2 linked regions of the Lonchura striata genome follow. The protein of the gene in region 1 binds, or shares a complex with, the protein of each later gene. Links are inferred from orthologs where the notes say so. Each region holds a gene or a part of one and is shown in the gene's direction. Other genes may lie near its edges. The genes, in order: CKB and ASB9.

Region 1 (12,080 bases):
CCCGGCTCTCCTCACACGCGGAGCCGCCCAGCGCCTCCTTCCGCCTCGGTCGCAGGCTGCTGACGCTCCCGCCGCCTCCGCCCCCGCCGGCCCTGCCTGGGGCCGGGGAGCCGCCGCGGCTTGTGCCCGGCGCGATCAGACCTGGCTGCTGCAGCCCTCCTGAGGTGCCGCCATGCCCACAGCTCCATCAAGGCGCCCGTTCCTCTGAGCCCGTCATGCCCCCAGTCCCATCGAAGCATCCATCCCGCTGAGCACACCCGTCCCCTCAGCCCTTCGAGGCGCCTGTCCCCGCAGAGCTCTGCTGACCGCCCCCGCCCCGTCCTCTCAGCGCTCCTTGCTGGGTCCTGGGCAGCGGGGGCGGTCACTGACCACCCTCAGCAGCCCCCCGGCACCCCGGCGGGTGCTCCTGCCTCGGGCAGCAGCCCTGTCAGTGAAACTTGAAGGGAAAAGCTGCAATGGGTGCTGACAGCCCCGGTGGGAACTTGGCGTTCATCACCCTTTGAACGTGTAGGGTGTCTCGAGGGCCACCGCCAGCAGGGCTGAAACCCCTTCCCCAGGGAATGACTTTGCCATTGGCAGAGCTGGGCCTTGCCTCCGTGGCCCCCAGGCACACAGCTTCCAGAAAGTTCTGCATGCCCTTCCCCCGGGGCAGCCTCAGGGAAAGGCCAAGCAAGCTCTTCACAGGGATTTCATAAGGCTGCAGGAGAAACCACACTGTGGGCTCAGAAGCAGCAGAATTGTTATCTAACCCCCTAACAGCATGGTACTAACTCCTACTTCTGTCTCATGTTTAGGATTGAAGTGATGTGGAGAGCCCTGCCTGCCCTGGTGGTACGGGGGCTGTAGTCAGGAGGCAAGGTGGAGCAAAGGAGGAGAATATTGCCTCATCTTCTGCTCACAACAAGCCCAGGCCACCTGGCATGGGAGCGGTATGGGCATAGCAGGCAGCATGTGAATCACCTTGGACGTGCAGGTTGTGTTCCCAGCTAAATCAGATAATCCTCTGTACTGTGCTGCATTCACCAGTAACCTGTAATACACAATAATGGAGAAAAAGTCATCGTTTCACAATCACAAACCCAGTAACGGAGAGCTGTTTAGATGATGATCTGTGATTTTTTAAATTAATCTGGTTCCACCAAGAATAAGGGATATTTTCCCACTACCTTCAGTGAGAACATATTTTTTGTTATGGTGTTGACCTGCCCATAACATAATTGCAGTAGTCTTTGTTAGTTATGAAACTCTTCTCCATCTAATCTAAACATAATGTATGCAGTTTCAGAGGTTTCTTAAGCTGCAAACTCCTACTCAGCTGTTTTTCTGACTGGCAATCATGGCTCTACTGTGCCTTTATATTTGCACCCACTTTGTTTAATTTTCTGTCATTTTTAGTGTCATTGGTTATATTTGTCATTGTTTATGTTCTCATGTCCTTTCTTTCCCATGATGGGCTGCTGTTCAGATCACTGTGGGCCTGACTGTGTGCAAGATTGAGACACTCAGCAACTCCTCATTTCCATAGGTACTCAGCTCACTGGAAACAATCAGTAATTTACAACAGCCTGCCTAAACAGTGAGAAAAAATGCACCAAGGATAATAAATAAGCAAATACATTTTAAGTGATAAATGGGAAGAGAAGTTTCATTTGACAAGTTAAGCAGATGGAGCTATGGCCAATTTCTTTAATCTACTGGTACATGAGTGTTATGTTTAATTTTCAAGTGGTGTTTAGTTGTAGATTAGGAATTGGAAACAATTCAGTTGTTCACAGCAAACCACTTTCTCTTGCTGTTTCCTAATTTGGAATATTATTCTGTGTTTCCAAGATGGTATTTATCCCCTAATTCTTCAGGTCTCTATTATGTTCACGCAAGTAATTTCAGAAGACACATTCACTAGCTAACACCCATCTCCTCTTGCACTTGCACACCACACAACATTTATAATTAAGCCTCTTAGGAAGTTAGCTGCATGGCCCTTGATTAACTTCCTTTAATTCTTCATTGTTAAAGTTCAGTGCAAAGACCTCTGGAGTAATCAGGCCACCTTTCCAACTGGAAATGTAGCATATAAATCAGTATTCACTAAGATACCATCCCAGCATAGACAGTGAGTATTGGTGCCTTTATCACAGTCTAACAGGCCATACAGGCTTATCCAAAGCCAGTGTTTCCCAGCAGATGAGGCAGATAAAGCGGGTGATCAGAGGCTGTTGACACAGGGCACAGCATCTGCAATTAAGTCACTAGGGAAGCTGGCATGGAATGCTGTGACAAAGATAGGATCCAATTTACACACAGCTTTCAGCAAATCTTAAAATGCTGTCTGAGTAAAACCCAGCCACTCCTGACTTACTGCACGCTAGAAATTTGTCAAATAGTGTTGAGAAGAGGGGGGTAGAGGGTGCATTGTTTGTCAGACATCTAAATTGGATATATTTTAGTGATTTTATGTTCCTGACTCTCTTTCCATGTCACCCAAATTCTGTGAAGAAGAGGTGTGTGTTTGTGTTGGAAGTGCTGTAATGTTTGGCACATTGAGACTTCTACCTGCTCACCATGACTGGTATTCCCTGTTCTGCAAGACAAAAAGAAGAAGAGCATATGCGATGAAACAGATCCTTGGATTTTGAATCTTGAGGTGACCTTGACTCCACAACTCTCCTGAACAATTACACTACAGAACAGTTGATTGCTTCTTTGTTTGTGTGGCAATAGATTATGGACTAAGATAAAAGGAGCCTTCAGAATCTACACTGATTGCCTTTTTTTTTTTTTTTTTTTTGTGGAGAACACCACCACAAAAATATGCCATAATGTAAGAAGGTTGTTTTAGTATATTTCTATTTCAAATTAAGAATAAAAATGTTAGTGCTTTACATTAAAAAAATCTGCAATCAGAATTATATTTGCAGCTGAGGCAATCCAGTAATATTTCATTTCTATTGTAATTTATTGAGGACTCTAGGTACAATTTTACACTTGTAATCATTTAATACTTGTATAGCCATGCATTATTTGCAATTCACATTATTCTGAAGCATGAGCACTGTGTGAAACTATTAGTGTGTAGGGGAGGACTTTGTGAGGTTAAAAGTGCAGAGGAGACCAAGAGAGAGGATTTGTTCTTTGATCCGGAAGCCAAGAGACCGGACTTGCACAGATGCTGAGCCCTTGGCTTCTCCTGGAGATCTGTATACTCAGCATCTCAGTCTACCAGACCTGGAATAACTCGGAAATCTGGATGGCAGCCAAACACAGCACATTTTTATTTGAAGCAGTCTAGGCTTTTTATTTTGCAATGATTTCCTCTATATGTATATTATGATTTTTAAGTCCTAAGCAGTTCTGTAAAGTGCACATGCTGTTTGTTGTTAAGGTGAGGGTACTGGTCATGGTGCTGAAAGGATTGTGATGGGGAGAGCGGTTCAGGTGATGTCTCCTGACATTCACAGCTCATGCCAATGAAAGCAACTCTGGAACTCAGATCCGCACTCTCATGTATAACTACACTCTGTTTGGACAGGAGGATAAACATGGATTCTGCTGTGAGAAACACGTCAGAGAAAGATAAAGATACTATTATGTAAAGGTGAAAGTCAAATCAAGATACTCATTCACATTGTTAATATACTGTAATTTCTGCAAACAGCAGGATTCTGAGCTGCGTCTTAGCTCTGGGACAAACCTGCTCATTCCTACAAAAAGACCAGTGCAAGTCTCTATTTTCATGAATTTCAGGTGAGCTTTAGATGGGTCAGATCCCAGAGTTCCTGTGCCTGTCTTTAGTAGGAAATCACCCCCTCTCCAATAAAAGCTGAAGAATTTTTTTTTTTGCACACAAGAGCAGAGGATTCACTGCGATTTTCGCAATCACCCTACTTCCCTTTCAAATTGAACTGTAAAACGAGCCCACGGTTTCGCAGGTGCTGGAGGCGAGGTGCAGGTCCTCCCTCTGCAGAACCGGGCTGCCGGGGGCTGGGCGCCACATTCGCAGCCGCCTCAGGGCTTCTGCCAGCTCGGGGCACTTGCCACTGGCCAGGCTCGCAGCACGGCCAGCCCGCACACTACACAGCGCTTCTTTTGGGATGGTGTATTAAGAGACCTGCGTTTGAACCCTCGGCCAAGGTGTTGGCAAAGGTGTGAAGCCTGTAACCAGCCACGCTGGTGTGCGGTGGCGCGCCCTGGCCGGTGGCACACCGGACGGATCCCTGCCCTCACGCTCGCGGTAACGAACGGCGCCGGCGCCGCCCCAGCGCCGCGGCAGCGGCCGAGGACCCCGCCACCCCCGACCGAGCTCCCCGACGCCGAGCAAAATGGCGGCGAGCGCGGGCCCGGCCGGCGGCGCAACGCCCGCCCCGCCCGCCGCTGCGCGGCCCAATGGAATGAATGGGCTATAAATAACGGCCAATGGGGCGCGAGCTTGGGCTCTATATAAAAGATGCGCGGCGGGGCCGTTGCAGCTTCACTCGGACTCGGGCAGTGCGTTACGCGGAGCAGCGCGGAGGTTCTTGCTGTAGCTGCGAAGCCCGCGGTAAGTCCCGGGGCAGCCGAGACGTTCTGCAGCCTTGAAACAAAGGCTTTAATTTTTTTTTTTTTTCCTTTGCTTTTTTTCCCTCTCCCGCTGTGTGGGGTGGAGCCGGTCCGGCTGAGGAGGGGCGGCGCGGGGCAGGGGCGCAGCCGGGGCGGGGGGCGTGGGGAGCGGCGCAGGTGCTCGCCGGGCTGGCTGGGCTCTAAAACCAGATTAACCCGGTATTTAGCAGGGTAGTTACATACGCTCGCCCCGTCCAAGTCCCCTGAGGGACCTGCCTGTTGTGTAAGGGCTTGTCGGATGCTGCCCTCCCTCCCCGGTCGGGGAGCAGCCGGGTGTCGCGGACGCGGAGGGCGCCGTCGCTCCTCCGGCTGCCCTCGCCCTGCAGCGGCGAGGGGAGGCGCGGCCGCGCACCGAGGGTGCGGCGGTGCCGCCCAGCTCGCCGGCCGGCCGGCCCGGGGTCCCGGCGGGGCCGAGCACCCCCGGCTCGCGGCCGCTCCCCGGCACCGGAGCCGCGCGGGTCCGCCCGGCGCTGCTGCGGCTGCTCCGCTGACCTTGGGCGCGTCCCCTCACCCGGGCGGCGCCCCGGGAGGCGGCGGGACCTCTGCCCCTGCGGCCGGGGTGGTGGGCACGGGGCACGGCTAGTGGAGGCGAAGAACTTATTTTCTTTTCCTCTTCCTTGGCGCTTGTGGAAGGCGATGTAGCAGCAAAGGTGTGAAAGGCGCGGGTGGAACGTGAGCCAAGGTGACCTTTTGGGTGCCTGGCGTTCCCCCGGGCGGTCCGGAGGCTGCCAAACGCCCAGTGATAGGCTTCCCGTCTTTCTCCCCTAGTGACTGCGGTAGGGTCAGCCATGCCCTTCTCAAACAGCCACAACCTCCTGAAGATGAAGTACAAGCCAGAGGAGGAGTACCCTGACCTGAAAGCTCACAACAATCACATGGCTAAGGTGCTGACCCCGGACCTGTACAAGAAATTGAGGGATAAACAGACTCCCAGTGGATTTACCCTGGATGATTGCATCCAGACTGGGGTTGACAACCCAGGTAATGGGATCGTTAGGTCTGCATAATGATCTGTTCTCCCTCCTGACTGGAAGTGCTTCTTGACAATGCTACCCAAAGTTCTCAAGCTACCGAGGGACAAATCTAAAGCACTGAGAGACTGCTCTAAAGGCATGGCTCTGTTGGGAGGCCATGTTTCCATCAAGCTGTGTTTCATGCTGTGATCTGACATACCAAGTCCCAGACACTTCAATTATGTAACTGCTCTGCTAAATACTTTCAATCTGAAGAGGGGAAAAAAAAGTCAAACCAAATGCATTCTAATTATAACTCATCTGGCGAGGGGGGGGAAAAAAAAAGTCAGTTTACCTGGCTGTCTTGATCTCTTCCTATTCCAGACTGGTTATATGATGTTTTGTAGCACTTCTATGAAAAAGGGGGAGCAGATGTGTTTACATGTTAACATTACAGTATTTATTTTTACTCTAGCAATATCAAAATGGCCCAACTAAATAATCAGAGACTGCCTCCTGATGAGGAGTATCCGGACCTGAGCACCCACAACAACCACATGGCCAAAGTTCTAACCCTGGATTTATACAAGAAACTGAGAGACAGAGTCACGCCCAGTGGCTTCACCCTGGATGATGTCATTCAGACTGGGGTTGATAATCCTGGTAAAATGCATTGAGAATATTCCGTGTGAACCAGCTGAAGTAACTGGTGCTTTTAATATGCTGACTTAAAGCTAATCTTGTGGAGGTGGTATTTATAAACAGACTACAGAAATGTAGCAGAAGGAGCGAAAAGCAAAGCATGCTTGCTTGCAGCAAAGCATGATTGTTTAGACATAAAATTCTATGCAGTGATCTAAATTAGCTAGTCAAATTAGATGTGCTGTGCAAATTTGTCCTAAACCAAGCTTGACAAATGAGCATGGTTTAATGACAATAGCTATGGGTTGCCATAGCATTGCATTTGACTAACTGGATGAAGTGTAAAATGTAGGGTCTCTCCAAATGTTTCTATGTGAGAATGGAGTTCTAAGTGACTAGACTTGCCACTAAACAACTTGCCTGGTTAGTGCTGCACTGGAGTACAGCCAAATGTCACCCAAACTTAGCTCTTCTGACTTTATTACCACTCCAGGCCATCCTTTCATAATGACAGTAGGATGCGTGGCTGGTGATGAAGAATCCTATGAAGTGTTCAAGGAGCTCTTTGATCCAGTTATTGAAGACAGGCATGGTGGCTACAAACCAAGTGATCAGCACAAGACTGACCTGAATGCTGATAACCTGCAGGTATAAAGTTTTGATCAATTACAGATTATTAGTCTGAGGACTGTAAAGTTGTTGGCAGCTGCCTAAACTGATTGCTCAGGCTCTGTCCCCTTGCTTCCACCGAGCATGGACACTTGGGCTGTGAGTCTGGTGCAATCAGCCTGAAGAGCTTGTTGCTGTGGGATGTCAGTGGCTGGGCAGCTTGCATGCAGCAGGAGCTTTTTACAGGTGCTGCTGAAGCGTGGGTTGTGCCAAACACCTTCAGTGTGTATTTCCTGAGTTGTGGGTTCTAGCAGTCAACCTTAACAACACTGTCGTGGAATTCACGGACTGTCATAAAACTTAAGCTTTCTTTTGTCTGATCTTGGATCTTAATTAGCAGCTGATGGTGTTGTGCTGTCAACGAAATATTATTACAGCTGGAAGTAAGGATTCTTAATCATTTTATGGATTTTAAATGTTACTGTAAACTAAACTCTGGGAATTCCTAACTCCATGATTCGCTAGCCATAAATCATACTGAAAATAAGAGACTTGGGAGAACAGTAATGAATAATTCTCATTTGCAAGAGTAAACATGTACTTAAAGAAGGTTTTGCCTCATGTTGATATTGCTAGGTTGCGAATCTGTAAGGGGTTACAGAAGCCCAGACCACAGTCTGAAGTGGACTTGGAACTGATGCTCTGGTGATATCCCTGCCTTCTAGGACTACTTAGTAGCTATAGCCTTGACCTCAGAGCAAGAGTTGTGTTACACAGATGCATGATGTGATGCTGAAGAAAGTAGCCCTGAAGTGAGGCACTGCTTACAGGCCATGGAGTCAATGCCTCATGTGTAAAGTGCACTCTTAAGTGCATGGGGGCTACACGTGTTTAGGGGAGCTATCTTGGTAACAGGGTTGTGCTTGCTGGTTTCCTAATCTTGTAGGGAGGTGATGATCTGGATCCCAATTATGTGCTAAGTTCCCGTGTCAGAACTGGCAGAAGCATCCGTGGATTCTGTCTTCCCCCGCACTGCAGTCGAGGAGAGAGGCGGGCTATCGAGAAGCTCTCTGTTGAAGGTAAAGTGAGAACTGGGTGCCTCAGGGACATCATTCTGTCCTTTGCACAAGAGGTGTTCTTTGCAGTTTGAAAATGGAAGCACTTGGCAAAAGCCACCTCCCTGGAGACAGTCTGAACATGGAGCCTTTTCCCTGGAAAAGGCTCATTGCATTAGAGCTGCCTCAGCATTGCAGCTTGTAGCTGAGAGCAAGTGCACATGGCAGAGGGAAGTTGGATTGCATTAAGGTTGACCTCTGCTGATCTCAAAAGCTTCTGTCTGTGTGTGTGGGGAGACAAGTTGGTTCATCAGGGCTCAAACCTGAAATGTAACAGGTATGTAGCAACTACAGGGCTTGAGTCATGGGGTGCAGTGTTTTGTGGCTGCATTTAATTGACTTTCATTAACTTTCAGCTTGCTTAAGAGATTGTAGTCTTGTTCCAAATCTGCAGCTGACTAGAGTAAGCCCTGGTTTTCAGTGAAGCTCTTCAGCTGTTTTTTTTCCCTGTTGCCTCCTGGTGCTCAAAACCTCTCAAGGGCAGGGTAACAGTCCTTGACAAGAATAATACTGCTTGTTACATTCATAACCTTGGTTCTCCTTGGAAGAAAAGCAGTCTCCATTTGTACAGTTCAGCAACAGTAATGATTCTATACTGCATGTAAGGGAACAAAGGCTAGTTGTACGAGCCTGGAAGGTGCAGACAAATCATCTGATACTGCCTCAGGTTCTGCCACAAGGGCATTGCTATTGCAGATGAAAGCAAGGGAGGAACCAGACCCAGCAGATCAAACATTGCCATACTTGATGTGTGGTCTCCAAAGTGCTGGGAAAGTGTAGAACCTTTAGCTCCATTCTAAAAGAATCTCTCTCTTTCAGCTTTGGGTAGTCTGGACGGTGATCTCAAGGGGAAGTACTATGCTCTGAGGAACATGACTGATGCAGAGCAGCAGCAGCTGATTGATGACCACTTCTTGTTTGACAAGCCAGTTTCTCCTCTTCTGTTGGCATCTGGGATGGCACGAGACTGGCCTGATGCCAGGGGTATCTGGTGAGTATGTCTGTGAGGAGGCAGTCATAGAAGTTAAAATCTTGCTGTTTCAGTGGTGACTTGTACTGTTGGGCAAAACAGTAGCTTCTCACCTTGTGTTACTGTATTTGATGAGAAACTTCCATGGAGAACTTGCAGTTAACCAGCAAAATTTTGACAAGTGCTCTTATGCTGGTAAAAACAAGCCAGCTTGGTGTTAGCCCAGAACCGGAGCCTGCATGGGTTAGTGAACCACCATGCAAAAACTGGATCAGCTTATGGAAGTAGATCACTTGTAAAGGAGCAGATGTGCCACTACAGTCAGCTCTTCCACCAAGAGTTGAGAGTAACTTGAGGTACAAACCATAGCATTGTCTTAGCTCAGGGTTGATCTTGGGTGCACAGTTATTCCCTTGTCTCTTCACTTCTGCTTACAGAAACTCAAAGGGGCTGAACTAGTATGGCTTTATCTGTGCTAGTGATGAGATCTTCCCTGTCCTCAGAGACTTGGTGACAGGAATTGACTGATGCAGAGGTGTGGAATAGAAGGATCCTGCTGGTTTTAAATGTAGGTCACCTACATAAAACTGCATCTCAGGAGCTTCTGCAGCATAATTAACTTGCTCCCTTGTAAGCGAAGGGCTAGGTTTTTATCAACAGGAATGCTCCAATCTTATTACTGCAGCTGTTTCAGTACAACCCAGTGGAAGCACACTTTGTTTCTGTAGGTCACCTTTAAGATTGCATCATCTACCTGCAGATTGCCAGCACCAGATAGCGCTGTCATCTGAGCATGACTAATCTACAGACTTGAAGTGTGTAATGTCTTAGTGTTGTCTGCATAAATAACTTTCCTCGGGTACTAGCTAATTTTTGATCCTAATCGAGTTCAGAAATTACTAGCAAGATAAACATGGATGATAGTACCTGCTGTCAGCTGCAAGCTGGGGCAGGAGGATCCCATTGTTCAGAAGATTTTTATATAGCATCTTTGAAGAGCCCTGATCCAAGTGAAATTCATACTGAAAGTAAGGTACGAAGTGCAGTTTGACATAATCTGACACAATACTGCTAAACAGGCTTGTTACACATGGTGTCATGTACATTATTGTACAGGACATTCTCAAAGTCTACTGATCACCTTTCTGCAAATTGCTGAGCAGAAATACCTTAGTTTTTAAAGTGGAGACACAAGTGAGCTAGGAGGATGAGAGGATGTGGGGGTTTTAGGTTTTGATACTGTAAGATTAGGCAATGCCTTGTTATTACTCGTTCTGTAAAAGCCAATTGAAATTACCTCTTGAAAAGAGCAGGGTAACAACTACCAGGTTAACCCACATCCTGTGTGGGCAAAAGAAATAAGATCAATCTTGTTGAAGCAGCTAAGTGAGCATCTTGAACTAAAAACTGCAGTGATGAGCAATTTGGGGCCATCTTCAAAGTGTGAGGTGGGCAAGACAGCAAACTGATTGCTTTGTCTCCTAGGCACAATGATAACAAGACTTTCCTTGTGTGGATCAATGAGGAGGATCACCTTAGAGTTATTTCCATGCAGAAAGGTGGCAACATGAAGGAAGTATTTAACCGCTTCTGTACTGGACTAACAAAGGTAAATTGCTGTTGTCTGGGCTGTAGGTTCAAATGGCACATGGTTCTCTGGTTAGATCTGAGAATGCAGTTTTCCTCCATTGTTGTGTTTCATAGTCTGGATCTCTGGGAACACCCTGGTGAGATGCAGGGCTGTGAGGGCTTCAGAACAGGTGTTTTGGCAAAAAGCCTTGTGGCTGTGTAATCTAGAATATTTGCTTGATGTGGTGGCACCCTTATCCAAATGTCTCAACTGTATTTTAAAGAAATTCTTCAGACACCTTAGGGAGGAGGAGAAATTGCTTGAATGTGCATGGGCAAAGCTGGACTCAAGTTCTGTACTTCTAGTCTTGATATGAGCTTGAGCTTTACCAGCCCCTTTCCTGATCATAAGAGATGTGCTAGCTTGACATGTATTCAATCCAGCTTCCCAACAAATAGTGACATAAGAAGCATAGCTTTTAGTCTTAGCCTCTCTCACTGCTAGGAGCAAGATGAAGGCCTTAAAAGCCCCTTGTTGGTGGCCGTTTTTTCTATAGGGAGGGGGTTATGTGGCTGAAATAGGTGTTCTGAGTGTTGTGGCTGTTGCTGAGTGACTGAAGCTGCAAGTGAGCACTAATGGATGTCCTACAATCTTGAGGTAGAGAACATCTCTATTCATTCTCTCTTCATTCTTTCTATTTATAGATAGAAAGTCTCTTCAAGGGCAAAAACTATGAGTTCATGTGGAATCCACACCTGGGCTACATCCTGACCTGCCCATCCAACCTCGGAACAGGGCTTCGTGCTGGTGTGCACATCAAGCTCCCACACCTTGGGAAACATGAGAAATTTGGAGAAGTCCTCAAGAGACTTCGTCTGCAGAAACGAGGCACAGGTGAGAGTTGGTAACACTGATGGGCTGCCCTAAGACACCAGCAAAAGCCTGGTTATGGCCAGAGCCATCTCTTGGTTCACACTGTCAGTGCTTGTCACACCATCCAAAAGGAACCCTTGTAAAGCACATGGAGAGAAAAAAGTTTTCAAATTATATATTGGAGGAGTTGAGGATGGCAGTGGTCCACTTTGTGCATACTTTGGCTGTCTAATGTCCTGGGTGCCATTTTGAGCAGCAGATAAAGGGGACCTGGTGGCAGCTGTTCATGTTCATAAGCAAGGGTGGGAATCCTGGTTTAACCTATGGCTAGGAGATGGCTCCAGTGGGTACTTGTGACCTAAGGTTGGATTGCTTACGGGTCAGAAGAATAAAGAGCTGGCCTAATTGCATGTTCTGTGGTTCATGTTGGCAGTCACACATGTATGTAGGATGAGGCACTGGTGGCAGCTTGTCCTGCTGTGTCCCTGCCTCAGGCTAGTGAGGGAAGAAGGGCAGACTCACGTTCTCTGGCTGAGGTCAGTGTTGTAACTGAATCTCTTGCTGCAGGTGGTGTGGACACAGCTGCTGTTGGAGGAGTGTTTGATGTCTCCAATGCTGATCGTCTTGGCTTCTCTGAGGTGGAGCTGGTGCAGATGGTGGTGGATGGAGTGAAGCTTCTCATTGAAATGGAGAAACGCCTTGAAAAAGGCCAGTCCATTGATGACCTCATGCCAGCTCAGAAATAAAGCACT
Region 2 (12,080 bases), on another chromosome or scaffold:
GTTGGTGAAGACTGACTCTAATATTCAATATGTGCTCCCCCAGAGCAAGCATCTAAAGTAGGTGAGACAAAGCATGGTTTGAAAGTGCCTATGTTTCTTCATTAATGCTAAGGAAAAGCTAGGATTTCTCACCCTGATTCTGAAGTTAAATTGAACTTCAGTTGGACTAAATTTAAGTTAATTGAAGTTAAATTATGTTTTGTGTCCAATTTTCCAAACATTTCCTGTAATTCTGTGATTTGCATCCTCAGAAACCAAGGGTCAATTTTCATACCAAGACAGATTTACCAGTAGTGTATTTTCGTTTTTGAAGCAATATTTGTGCTAATAGTAATAAAATTGGTATAAAAGTTATCTGGACAAGTTAAAAAATTGATTAACAACTGGAAATAAAAAAGAACCAAGACAGTAGAACAGTCCATTGAATTACAAAAAATGTAGATTTTTTTTTGAAGGAGGAAAAAGAAAATATTCCTTTTATAAGACATGATGTAAATAGAAAAAAGTAATATTAACTGTTGTTGATTCCACTTTATTGTGCACTTCTATGCACCAAGGATGGCTGCACTTGAATAAGGATAAAGTAATTTCTGTACTAGGCCTGTTTATGTAGAACTTAGGGATGTATTTGCTACTTAAATGGAAAATAATATTGTAATGCTTAAAAGCTCTGGTGTGTCTCTGTGTTGTGTAAGCTGTTTCTAATCTGTATTTGAAGTTCTGTGTTGTTTATCTTGAGATCCAGGTTGATGTTAAAATGTTCCCTTTTTACTGGAGAATTTTTTGCTTGCTTACATAAAAGATCAGCAACAAAAGAGATTAAATTAATCAAAGCCTTCTTGCATATTCCAGCTCTCAGCAAGGCTGAGAACAACCTATAGGAATCCCCTGGTTTTGGGATGTGTTATTTGGGGAGTTTAATTTAGTTTGATGATTCCATTCACATCAAAATGATGCTTAAGAAGTAGAGTGGCTATAGATGGTTAAATAATATTAAGGTGATCACCAGGCCAAAGCCACACACTGCCTCTGTAGGTATGCCTGAATTGCTAGCTGAAGCAAGAGCTCAGGAGATAATTTATGTCTGTCAAACTCAGGATCTGTGTGTTTTCTAGTTACTCTCTGCTGTAATCTGGCTGCATGTCAGCATAAGGGCATCTGAAATGTAGCTCAGAGGAGCACAGCTGTCACAACAGACTGGATTGGGCTGGAAGGGACCTTAAAGTTCATCTAGTCCCAGGCCCCTGCCATGAGCAGGGCTGCCACTCTAGATCAGGTTGCTCAGAGTACCATCTAATCTGGCCTTGAATGCTTCCAGGGATGAGGCATTCACAGCCTCCCAGGGCAACATTTCCAGCACCTCACAAGTCTGTGAGCAAAGAATTTCTTCCTAGCATCTAATATAAATCTAAATTTTCAATCTAAATCCATTGACATTTGGTCTGGAATGATCTGCTCATGTAAGAAGTCTCTCTCCCTCCTTTTTATAAGCACCCTAAGGTACTGGAAGACTACAGCAAGGCCTCTCTAAAGCCTCCTCTTCTCCAGGCTGATCAAGTCCAGCTCTCTCAGCCTGTCTTCATGGGAGAGGTGCTTCAGCTCTCTGAGCATCTTTGTGCTCCTCCTTTGCACCTGCTCTAACAAATCCATGTTTTTATGGTGCTGGACCCCACAGTAGGATGCAGGACTCCTGGTAGGGTCTCATGAGGGCAAAGTAGAGGGGGAGAATCCCCTTCCCTGGACCTGCTGGCTGGGCTGCTTTGGATGCAGCCCAGGGTGCCTTGGGCCTCCTGGGCTGCAAGCGCACACTGTGGGCTCATGTCCAGCTTTTCATCCACAGGAACCCCCAGGTCCTTCTCTGCAGGGCTGCCCTCAGTGACTTCTCCTCCCTTGTCTTCTGTGCTCATGTCTGGGATCACCCTGACTCAGGTGCAGCACCTTGCACTTGGATTTGTTGAACCTCAGGAGGTGCTCATGGGCCCACTCCTCAAGCTTGTCCAGGTCCCCAGCGGTTGCATCCTGTCCTTAAGGAATATCAACTGCACCATTCAAATTCATTCAAATCTGCAAACTTCCTGAGGCACCAGGTCTCACTGGTCATTACTGCATTTACCTTCTTGGTCATCAGAGAAGATAACACAGCTCTGAGCTTGCACATTTGGTTTCATACACGGATTCCTTTTGGTGGTGGAATTGTTGAAATGGTTGTTAATACTAGATCTGCCAGCAATATGATCAATCATGAAAAGGGGCAACCTAACCTCTAAAATCAAGTAACACTAAAGAGAAAAAAATGGGTTTTTTTCATTCTTTTTACATGTTAATCCTCAGAAACAATACCTACATACACCACGTTCTCTGTTTACACATTTTTCCCACACCAGTTTGGCTAAGACACAAATGTAATTTTCAGGGAGATCAAAGCTTGTATCCAGCATGGGAGGCCATGCTGCATTCAGCAAGAAGTGCCATGGAAAGGGCTGGCCCTGTCCTCATCTGTGCCCAGGCTGCTGTCACAGATTCCCTGTTGGCAAAGTGTGTGGATGATGTTCAGCTGCTGTTTGCATCTTTTAATATAAATTATTATTTTTAAAGATATGGACAAAGAAACCCTAAATATTATTCCAGATTTCTTGCATACATTACAGAAAGAAATAAAATTAAAACCAAGTTTCTTAGGCTCAGCTAAGTTAGGATCAGAATCAAAATACTATAAGCAACTTCAAATCCTCAAATACACAAACACAAATTTTGCTCTAGTAGCCATACAGGACAAAAAAAAAAAAAAAAGAAAAAAAAGAAAAACATTACATGGTTTAGAATTTGCATGGAAATTCTACTTGAACATAAGTAGAAGCCTACTTCCACTTGAACACAAATGCGCAAATATTCAGTGACAGAAAAAGGATTTTGTGCTTGTAAATTATACTGTACTGGGAAGGAAAATATTTTAAATAGAGATGACCTGTGAGAACAGAACTTTTGCAAAACAGACACTCTGCCTGCCCTGTTCTCTGCCTGTCCTGTTCTCTGCCTGTCCTGTTCTCTGCCTGTCCTGGCTCTGCCTGTCCCGGCTCTGCCTGTCCTGTTCTCTGCCTGTCCCAGCTCTCCCTGCCCTGTTCTCTGCCTGTCCAGTTCTCTGCCTGTCCTGTTCTCTGCCTGTCCCAGCTCTCCCTGCCCTGTTCTCTGCCTGTCCAGTTCTCTGCCTGTCCTGTTCTCTGCCTGTCCCGGCTCTGCCTGTCCTGTTCTCTGCCTGTCCCAGCTCTCCCTGTCCTGTTCTCTCCCTGTCCTGTTCTCTGCCTGTCCTGTTCTCTGCCTGTCCCGGCTCTGCCTGTCCCGGCTCTGCCTGTCCTGTTCTCTGCCTGTCCTGGCTCTGCCTGTCCTGTTCTCTGCCTGTCCCGGCTCTGCCTGTCCCGGCTCTGCCTGTCCTGTTCTCTGCCTGTCCTGGCTCTGCCTGTCCTGTTCTCTGCCTGTCCTGGCTCTGCCTGTCCCGGCTCTGCCTGTCCTGTTCTCTCCCTGTCCCGGCTCTGCCTGTCCTGTTCTCTCCCTGTCCTGTTCTCTGCCTGTCCTGTTCTCTGCCTGTCCCGGCTCTGCCTGCCCCGGCTCTGCCTGTCCTGTTCTCTCCCTGTCCTGTTCTCTGCCTGTCCCGGCTCTCCCTGTCCCGGCTCTCCCTGCCCTGTTCTCTCCCTGCCCTATTCTCTGCCTGCCCTGGCTCTGCCGGCTCTCCCTGCCCTGTTCTCTCCCTGCCCTATTCTCTGCCTGCCCTAGCTCTGCCGGCTCTCTCTGCGCATCCCCTGAAGGCAGAGTTTGTTCAACTAGTCGAACTGGCTCTTTCTGTCTTGTTTTTTTTTGGCAAACTAAGAATTTCCTTCCTGATAAAAAAGAGCGGCGGGCGCCCCGATTGGGCGTCTCGTTGGAGAGGATGTGACATCAGGCACATCTCTGGCTTGGCTGGGTCTCTGGCTGCCGAGCAGGGCAGCCCGGGAGCAGCTTTGTCAAATCGCAGCCCCGGCGCTCGGCTCTGCGCGCTCCGAGCTGCCGCCGGCGCTGCTCGGCTCATGCGTGCGGGGTCCGCTCCGGAGAGCGCTCCGGCCGCTGCGGGCTCGCCGGGGAACATGGAATTTGAACTCTGGAAACCAGCCACAGAGTGAAAAGACAGCGGCTGGGCAGGCAGGGCTGAGATGGATGATGAGAGAACGAATCAAAATGCCAGCAAACTGCAAGGAGCTGGAGGCCGGGCATCTGCAGCGACTCCGTGGAGCCCGCTGATGAGGGGTGAGTGACGCTCCTGCCCGGCACAAGCCTCAGCCCTGCCGGAGGGCAGCGGGGGCTGCGGTGCTGCTGCTCCCCGGGTCCTGCTTCAGGACAGCTCCTCACCCGGTCCCACAAAACACCCCCACGACTTCGTGGAAAAAAAAGCTATTTCTGTTTGATACTGAAATTTTGGTTGTTTCTTTTTCGTGTCATAGAAGAGAGTGGTTGGTTTTGTACTGCAGTTTGTGCAAGCAGAAATAAATGTAGCAGCACTTGGACTGCAGCACACTGAGAAATAAGTTGAAATGTGGCGTGTTTGACTTAAATTAGTGCCAGCAGGAAGCTCAGCAGTAGCTCAATTCCTTCTTTTTCTTTCTTTTTCTTTTTCTTTTTCTTTTTCTTTTTCTTTTTCTTTTTCTTTTTCTTTTTCTTTTTCTTTTTCTTTTTCTTTTTCTTTTTCTTTTTTCTTTTTTTTTTCTTTTTCTTTCTTTTATTTTTTCTTTTTATTTTTCTTTCTTTTTTCTTTCTTTTTTTCTTTCTTTTTTCATTCCCTTCCTCCTTACTTTCCTTCTTTTTCTCCTTCCTTTTAATTATTTTAATTTTTTTTTTTCATTTTTATCTTTCTTCTTCTTTATCCTTTTTTTCTTTATCTTTTATCCTTTCCCCTTGTCTTTCAGATGAACAGACCTAAGTGTTGTTTAGGCTGAGCCTACTGGGCTCTTCTTCAGTGGCATTGCTGTGACCAGTGCTGTTGTGGGCACATAATAGTGAGCAGTTACTCAGACAAATGGCCTCACTCTGGTCATTGCTCTGTGTCTGGCCCAGAGCCATTGAAAATATGACATGGTAAAAAAAAGACAAGTAATTAAACTTTGTATCCTGAGCTGGATGTGTTCGCTGTAGCTCTGTTTCTGTTAAGTTACTCCTTCCTCTAATGGCGAGTGCAGATGGAATGAGGTAAATTCAGAAAATGTGACTATGCTATCCTTGCTCTTTTTCTGGGCTGTTCAGGATGCTTCCATTAACACTAAGTTGAAAATTAAGACCATAAAGCCAAAATGCAGGGCTGACCAGTCTATCTGCAGTGTAGTCTGCCTGCCCCCGTGTGTGCCATGTATGTACAGCCTGAGGCTGGGCTGAGCAGGAAGGCACAGTGATACCATTAACTGTGTGAAATAGAACCAGTCCACACTGGAGATGAGCTCCAGCAAAATGGAGGGTGGAAGGACGGAATCCCACATGGCACAATGCTGCACACAGATCATTTGGTCCTTTGAAAATCAAAGTTTAGTCCATTCCTTTTGTGTCTGCCTGTTCCTTAGCAGAGTCAATAAGCTCTGCTCGCAATTTCCAGCAGGAATGTGTTTAGCTCAAGCTATGTAGATCACAAACTTTAAGGGACAGCCTTTGAGTATGGAAAATACAATTTGTAATACTGTTCTATATAATGCCATAGGATTTTGTATCTGAAAATATGAATGCAAGAGCACACCTTCACTAGGAGGACTTAAGAGCCCCTTTCAAGTTGTGCTGTATGTGAGAGGCATGGGAAGAAACCAGCCTGGGGACAGGCACAGGCACCATGTGCAATGCCCTCACATGGTCAGAGGCTGCAAAAAGTTGCTTCAGCCATCACAACAAAAACCAGTGCTCTAGAAAGGTCCTGTGAGAGCTCTGTTGTGCACAGGGAGCAGTCAGATTTTGCATGTGTACATGGTTATTGCTATAAGACTCCCTCTGTATACACCACCCTGCCAGTGTCACATGCCTGAGTGATGGCAGTGCTCAAATATGACCAGGGGTTTAATGTAACCTCTGGGCTGGCTGGAGTTTTCTGCAGTGGAAGGGGAGGTGACCCAAAGCCACTGAAAGCCAGTGGGATTTAGATGTCTAGCTAAACTACTGGGGTCTGACTCAGACTCCCTGTGGACTAAGGTGTGGGTAAATTTCAAATTTGGACAAATTATCTTGTTTCTTTGTGAAAGAGCAGCTGTACTATTTTTGACAATCAGGAATCCTTGTTTTGGTGGTGGTACATACAATGAACCACTGCATCCCCCACACACACTGGCCTTGCTAGTCCATATGCAGAGTGCTCTGGGCACATTCATGAAAATCACTAGTTCGGGATTTTGAAAGCCCATAATCAACTAGAATTGACATTTGCTTAGGCCTTAATCAAATACAATACACATCTTTTATATTCTGATAGTGTGCCTCCTGTGAAGTGTAAAAGAGGGCAGTGAGACATGGAAATTACTGCAGCCTTTCTCCTCTTCCAGGCAAGGACCTTGAGTTCCAGCCTGGAGCAGGCAGAAAAAAGAAATATGGTTATTTGTGAGAAGGTGATGCCTGGGGTTAAGAAACTGAAGAAATTTGCCATCTTTTCCAAGGGCCTCCATTCCAATGCCTTCCTGGCACTGCTTCAGGTTAGAAGTGCTTGCTGCAGATGGAGGTAGGGCAGGAGAAACATCAGCCTGAGGCTGTGCAGTTCATGGCAGCAGATCTGGAATTATGTCATCCCAATTAGTCATCAGTCAGGCCTTTAATCCTGCTCCTCCCAAGGTGTCCAAGGCTGGTGTGACAGACTCCCTAGGGCTCCATAGGGCTCCACTTCCACCTAGGATAAAACTCTAGGTTTCTCTCAGTTACGGAACTCCCAGATAGATTACGTGTCAGCACATATCTCTTTTATTTTTTACTGACATTTATTTTTAATGCCTATATGGTCAATCTTTTAATTCATTGTTAAAACTTGGAAACTTGCAAGCCAATGTCCAGTCTACAGATGGCTGGTCTGGCTCTTTTTAGAGTTTCAGTGGAAACCTGTCTTTTCTTAAGCAAGGACTGAATGGATAAAATCCACACATGGATATGTCCCTCTTATATCATCATGACATGATGATATAATACTTTGGTATAATGCACAGGTTGGTACAGGCACAAGTGCCTGCCAATATTTGTGTAGCCAAAAAAAGTTCAAGTTGCAGCTCAAAAAACTTGGTACTTAAATCTAGATTTTTAGAATATCTATAAACATACTTCCCTTACAACTCATGCAATTTAGGCAATGGCATTAGTTTCTAAATGTAAAAACCCTGGAAACACAAGTGACTGTAACACAGGCAGGACCAACAAGAGCAACAGCACAGTCAGATAAGCATCAATTTAACACACATCACTTAGAGCAAAGATGTTTTAGTCAGTTAATCAGTCTGTGGTTTAATAATTGTTGTCCAGGTTTGCCATCCTCATGAACTAGAACCACAGCTTCCAGAATTGCCTGTCTGTTTGCTAAAGCTGAAGATATTTGGGAACCTAATGAAACTGTGTAACTATTGTGGGAAGCAGCCCATGGAGCATAGGAGGCAGGCAGAGCTCAAATAATGCTAATAACAAAGAATACAGATTTCTTTAAAAGCTAATTCATAGACTCATAGCCAGGTGTAGATTGGAAGAGACCTTTAAAGGTTGTCTAGTCCAACACCCCTGCAATGAGCAGGAACACCTTCCACTAGACCAGGTTTCTCAGAGTCCCACCCACCTTGACCTGAATCTTCCCACAAAAGGGACATCTACTACCTCTCTAGGCAACCTGTTCCATTATTCCACCACCACATTTTAATGTCTGGCCTAAATATACCTTCTTTTTATTTAAAACCGTTATGATCATCAGCTTATGTGTAAACATTCTTTCAAAGAATTATAGGCTTATTAGGGTTTTTTGCTGAAGGCAGACTTCCTGCTGTTAAGGATTCCATTCCATGCATGTGCTTTCTTATAGTTCCTGAGAACCTCAGCAACTCAGCCAGCAACTTGGTCACTGGAGTATTCTCTGTAGTTAGTGGAGGAGAGTGGGACATCTCCAGAGAACATCAAAATGTCTTTTAACAGGAAGCTGTGTGAAATGCCCTCTGTAAAGGCTTCCCTTCCTTCCCAGGGGGAACCTAGCACATTGACATAGAGCAGACACTGGGTTTTGAGTGCTGGGACATAAATATCTCCCAGAGGGATTATTGCTGTCAGTTGACTCTGAGCCATAAAATCTGTAATACTGAAGATCTCTCTCTATTAATATTTGCACATTATGTATGTGCTGTACCTCACTTTGTAGTTTCAACAATGCAGACAGCACAGCTATTACTTAAAATGCACCACTCATAACAAACACTGAAAACAGAAAGACAGAATCAACAGGTAGTATATTTTGCCTCCTTGTACTTTGGTCCCTTCTCTTGCCAAGTGTTGTTGACTCTAGTCCAGCTCTGAGCCGGGGTAAATGACTGATCAGCCAAACTCTCTTCAAACATATTCCTTTTGAGATAATTGGTAAAATGTAATAAGTTCATGTAAAAAAATAAAGGGCCCTGGAAATAATTCGGAGAGAGGGATAAGCTCAGCCAGAGCCAGGTGATGTTCTGCAAATCCCTCCTGTCTTCTGAAGGGGAGCACAGCTGTGCAGTGCAAACATGGGATGAGTTAAAAATGCACCCAGAGGGAAACCATCTTCTTGTCTGTCTCCCTCACACCATCTGCTCCAAAGAAATCTTGGCAGCTCAAATAAAGTAGAAGGGAGGTCACACAGTTGAAGTAAAATATGCTAGTGAAATAGAAGTTTTAGCCTTTTTCCTGTCTTTGTTTTTATACAGATTTTGTTTCAGACTGGTCTCCTCTACATGAGGCCTCTATCCATGGGCGTCTGCTTTCCCTGAAGAAGCTCATTGAACAGGTACCTCTCAGCTGGGTTCATGTGGTGTCTGCAGGGTTTGTTCAGTGGATGAATGCAGTCTGTGCTTCACTGTGAAACTTCAGGGTGAGAAAATCCTGTTAACCAGGCCACAGCAAAATCTGCATGCAACGGGCTTTTCTTCGCTACAATCAGTTCCTTGCCCAGTACAAGCTTTGTGCACTAATCTGAAGATGTACTAAACTATCCAGGGTGATATGTTAACTGTGGCAGAGGAAATGGGATCAGTGGGATCTATGGATGGCCAAGGGCAGCTCCTCTGCAGCTCCTGTGCATGCCAGTGAGGAGTTTTTGGTGCCCCAGCTGAAGGCCAGCTCTGGACCCAGTCATGGGTCTGGTTGAGCTTCAATGCAGTCACCCAGACACTTGTTTCTGAAGTGCCTGAGCATATCCTAGTTCCTCCAGAAGGTCAGGGATAGGTAGAAATGACTTCTGAACTTCACCACTTTGTTTCTTCAAAATCCCTGGGTTTAACCTGTGAAGGAGATAATGGAAAGGGAAGGGGCATTGGAGACTCTTCCAGCTTAGTCTTCTTGAGCACCAAGATTGATAGAAACAAAAGAACCTGGAGAATCCAACCAATGTTTCTGATGCCTTTCTTTCCTTCAGTGGTTGCCTTGAGGCAAAGAGCAGAAAATACTTCAAGAGCATTTCAGGGTTCCAGCTAGTCAAACAGCCACAATATATTGTCCCACTGGACAGTCCACTAAGCTTTCTGTGCTGGTTTTCAGTGTGTACAAGGCATGGCCTCGGGTATCCTGTGCCAGTATCCACTCCACCCAAATCATTACCACCTCTTCATCCCCTTCATCTGCTTACTTCTGAGATGAATAGCTCCAGGCAGTTGAGGAAGGTCTAGTTACATAAAGCTTTTAAAGCAGGTTTTTTTTTTTATTGTGGATTTTGGTATGGGGGTTTTAGTAGTTGTTTGTAATGATATTTTCCATTATCTTATCAGGGGAATGATGTCAATCTTGTTACAGCAGACCAGGTGTCTCCTCTCCATGAAGCCTGCCTAGGGGGTCATGCTGCCTGTGCCAGTGTCCTGTTAAAACATGGTGCTCAGGTGAGTAGGTGATGGACAGACCTCTGTCTCTAGTGTTAGTATGCTGTACTACCACACTGTAATGCTACCTGGTGTCATGGCAGAGTATCTCTGTGGTTTGCACTCTGTACATAGCTCTGCTTAAGGTAGTTATGAAATGCACTTCCTAATAAAAAAAAAAAAAGTACAGATATAAGCAACAGTTATTATTGTTCTTTAGATGAGGATGAAATGTTCTCATCTGTAACAAGAACAAGGGGAAGTTAATCTTGCAAAGTGTTTATAATCCTGCAGCAGTTAAGGGTGTGTTTTATTTTATGCATGCATTAATCTTATTGGTATCAATATGCAATCTAAAGTAGAATCATAGGATTGTGACAACCAACTGACAAAAAATGGGAAGAAAATGGAAACAAGATGCAAGTAAAATGGTGAAATCGTGTCTCATGGCCACTACTTTTCAAGCTAATATCAAAATTGTAGTGAATAAGGACATTCATTCATACATCCATTACCTTACAGATATTACCTTTCAGTTTAAAATTAAAAAAAAATAATAATGAAGGGTTGCACACTTTCAACCAAAAATGGACTGTTTCAGGAGAAGGCTATGGGTAGGTGTGTTTCAGCTAAAATAACTGAGAAATGGTCATACATTTAGCTTGGTAACTCCTGAGAGACCCTAGAGTGGCCCTGATGGTTTTTTGGTTTTTTTCTTTTTTTGCAGTAGGAGAGACTTGGGGGAAATTTTAAAAAATACTTTTTAAATTATCATTTTAATGAAAACTTGTAGTCTTTGGAAGCACTGGGGAGTTTTGGCATAGAATTAAATAAAAAATATTGAAACCCCTATTTCCTGCTGAGAAACTGGTAGTTGCCATCAATTCTGACATATCAAGAAGACAAAGGTTTTGCCAGATTGTGTTATTTTCTCCCAGGTGGATGGAGTGACTGTGGACTGGCACACACCACTGTTCAACACTTGTGTCAGTGGCAGTGTGGCTTGCTTGAATTTATTGCTGGAGCATGGAGCCAGCCTACACTCACCCTGTGACCTGGCATCCCCCATCCACGAAGCTGCTAAGAGAGGTAACCCACAGGCATCAGCTCTCCTGTCCATGCTGCTAGCAGCGTGTTGAAGTGGTGGATAGAGATAAAGAAGATAATTTTCTTGGTTTGGGTCATGTAAAATGCCTTGCTAATTGGTCTCATCATGAGGGGTGCCGTTCTTCCCAGCCTGTTGCTCCTCAGGGGCAGGTCAGCTCAGCTGTCAGATCCTCTGAGTTCACGTCGTGCCACCTGGAAGGGAATGCATTGTCCAAGTCAGCTGCATACAATGTGGACATTTGAGGGAGACATCTGGCTGTCTTCAAAAGGAGTGGAGAGAAACATGGAGTGATTAATCTCATCTTCAGTAGACATCTGAAATGAGTCAGATGAAATGTGAGGGTTTTAGCCTGTGAGCCTGTTTTGCTGAATGTGGCTTTTCAGCTCCTGGTTTGCTGGCTGGATCCATTGGAGTGGATTAAAGTCATTACATTACCACCTCTTGACAAAACATTGAATCTTTGCCAAACTACACTGCTGTAACAGAGAATTTGCTGAAAAAAAAGGGCCTGATCTCTGTGAGTTGACTCTTCCTTTATCCCTTTTAAGGTCATGTGCAATGTGTCGAACTCCTTGCATCCCGTGGGGTAAATATAGATCACAACATCAAGCACCTGGGTACTCCACTTTATGTAGCATGTGAGAACCAGCAAGTGAACTGTGCCAGGAAGCTGCTGGAGTCAGGTAAAAACAAAAATAAAGAATGGTGTACTTTTGTTTCCTGCAACATCTGTCTTTGGATTATCTTTGCATCAAAAATTTAGAGGAACTCTTGCTTTGGGACCAGGAGATGTTTCACTCCTAATAGCAGCCCTGGTTAAATGTGGTAGCAGGGTGATCATGGTTTTCTTGACCCAGGAATTCAGCTGGATAGCTCTCAACAAAATGATGGGTGATCTTGGATTTCACATGGCTGATTGTGTCTGG

The links.
Region 2: the proteins of CKB (region 1) and ASB9 are in contact, whole or in part, in a cryo-EM structure (PDB 6V9H), measured with the Homo sapiens proteins. The link is inferred for Lonchura striata from reciprocal best matches to the Homo sapiens genes CKB and ASB9. Residues at the interface, in NP_001814.2 of Homo sapiens: Asn63, Pro64, Gly65, His66, Pro67, Tyr68, Ile69, Thr71, Arg130, Arg132, His191, Val198, Ser199, Pro200, Leu201, Leu202, Leu226, Trp228, Glu232, Ile238, Met240, Asn286, Arg292, Gly303, Lys304, His305, Glu306, Lys319, Arg320, Gly321; in NP_001026909.1 of Homo sapiens: Leu25, Asn27, Pro28, Leu29, Met30, Gly31, Asp32, Ala33, Val34, Ser35, Asp36, Trp37, Pro39, Glu42, Ile45, His46, Trp60, Ala67, Asp68, His69, Glu75, Ala100, Asp101, Trp102, Val111, Asp133, Leu134, Ser165, His166.

Annotation. Positions count from the first base shown.
Region 1 is NC_134608.1:10,102,049-10,114,128, forward strand, and holds the start of CKB (creatine kinase B-type), read left to right. Parts: upstream 1-4,420; 5' UTR 4,421-4,537; intron 4,538-5,364; 5' UTR 5,365-5,384; coding exon 5,385-5,577; intron 5,578-6,024; exon of another isoform or gene 6,025-6,034; coding exon of another isoform or gene 6,035-6,212; intron 6,213-6,684; coding exon 6,685-6,839; intron 6,840-7,746; coding exon 7,747-7,879; intron 7,880-8,734; coding exon 8,735-8,906; intron 8,907-10,370; coding exon 10,371-10,494; intron 10,495-11,159; coding exon 11,160-11,349; intron 11,350-11,895; coding exon 11,896-12,074; 3' UTR 12,075-12,080. UniProt on the Homo sapiens protein: Reversibly catalyzes the transfer of phosphate between ATP and various phosphogens (e.g. creatine phosphate).
Region 2 is NC_134604.1:100,005,097-100,017,176, reverse strand, and holds the start of ASB9 (ankyrin repeat and SOCS box protein 9), read left to right. Parts: upstream 1-3,946; 5' UTR 3,947-4,181; coding exon 4,182-4,275; intron 4,276-8,903; coding exon 8,904-8,983; intron 8,984-9,959; coding exon 9,960-10,067; intron 10,068-10,984; coding exon 10,985-11,135; intron 11,136-11,702; coding exon 11,703-11,837; intron 11,838-12,080. UniProt on the Homo sapiens protein: Substrate-recognition component of a cullin-5-RING E3 ubiquitin-protein ligase complex (ECS complex, also named CRL5 complex), which mediates the ubiquitination and subsequent proteasomal degradation of target proteins.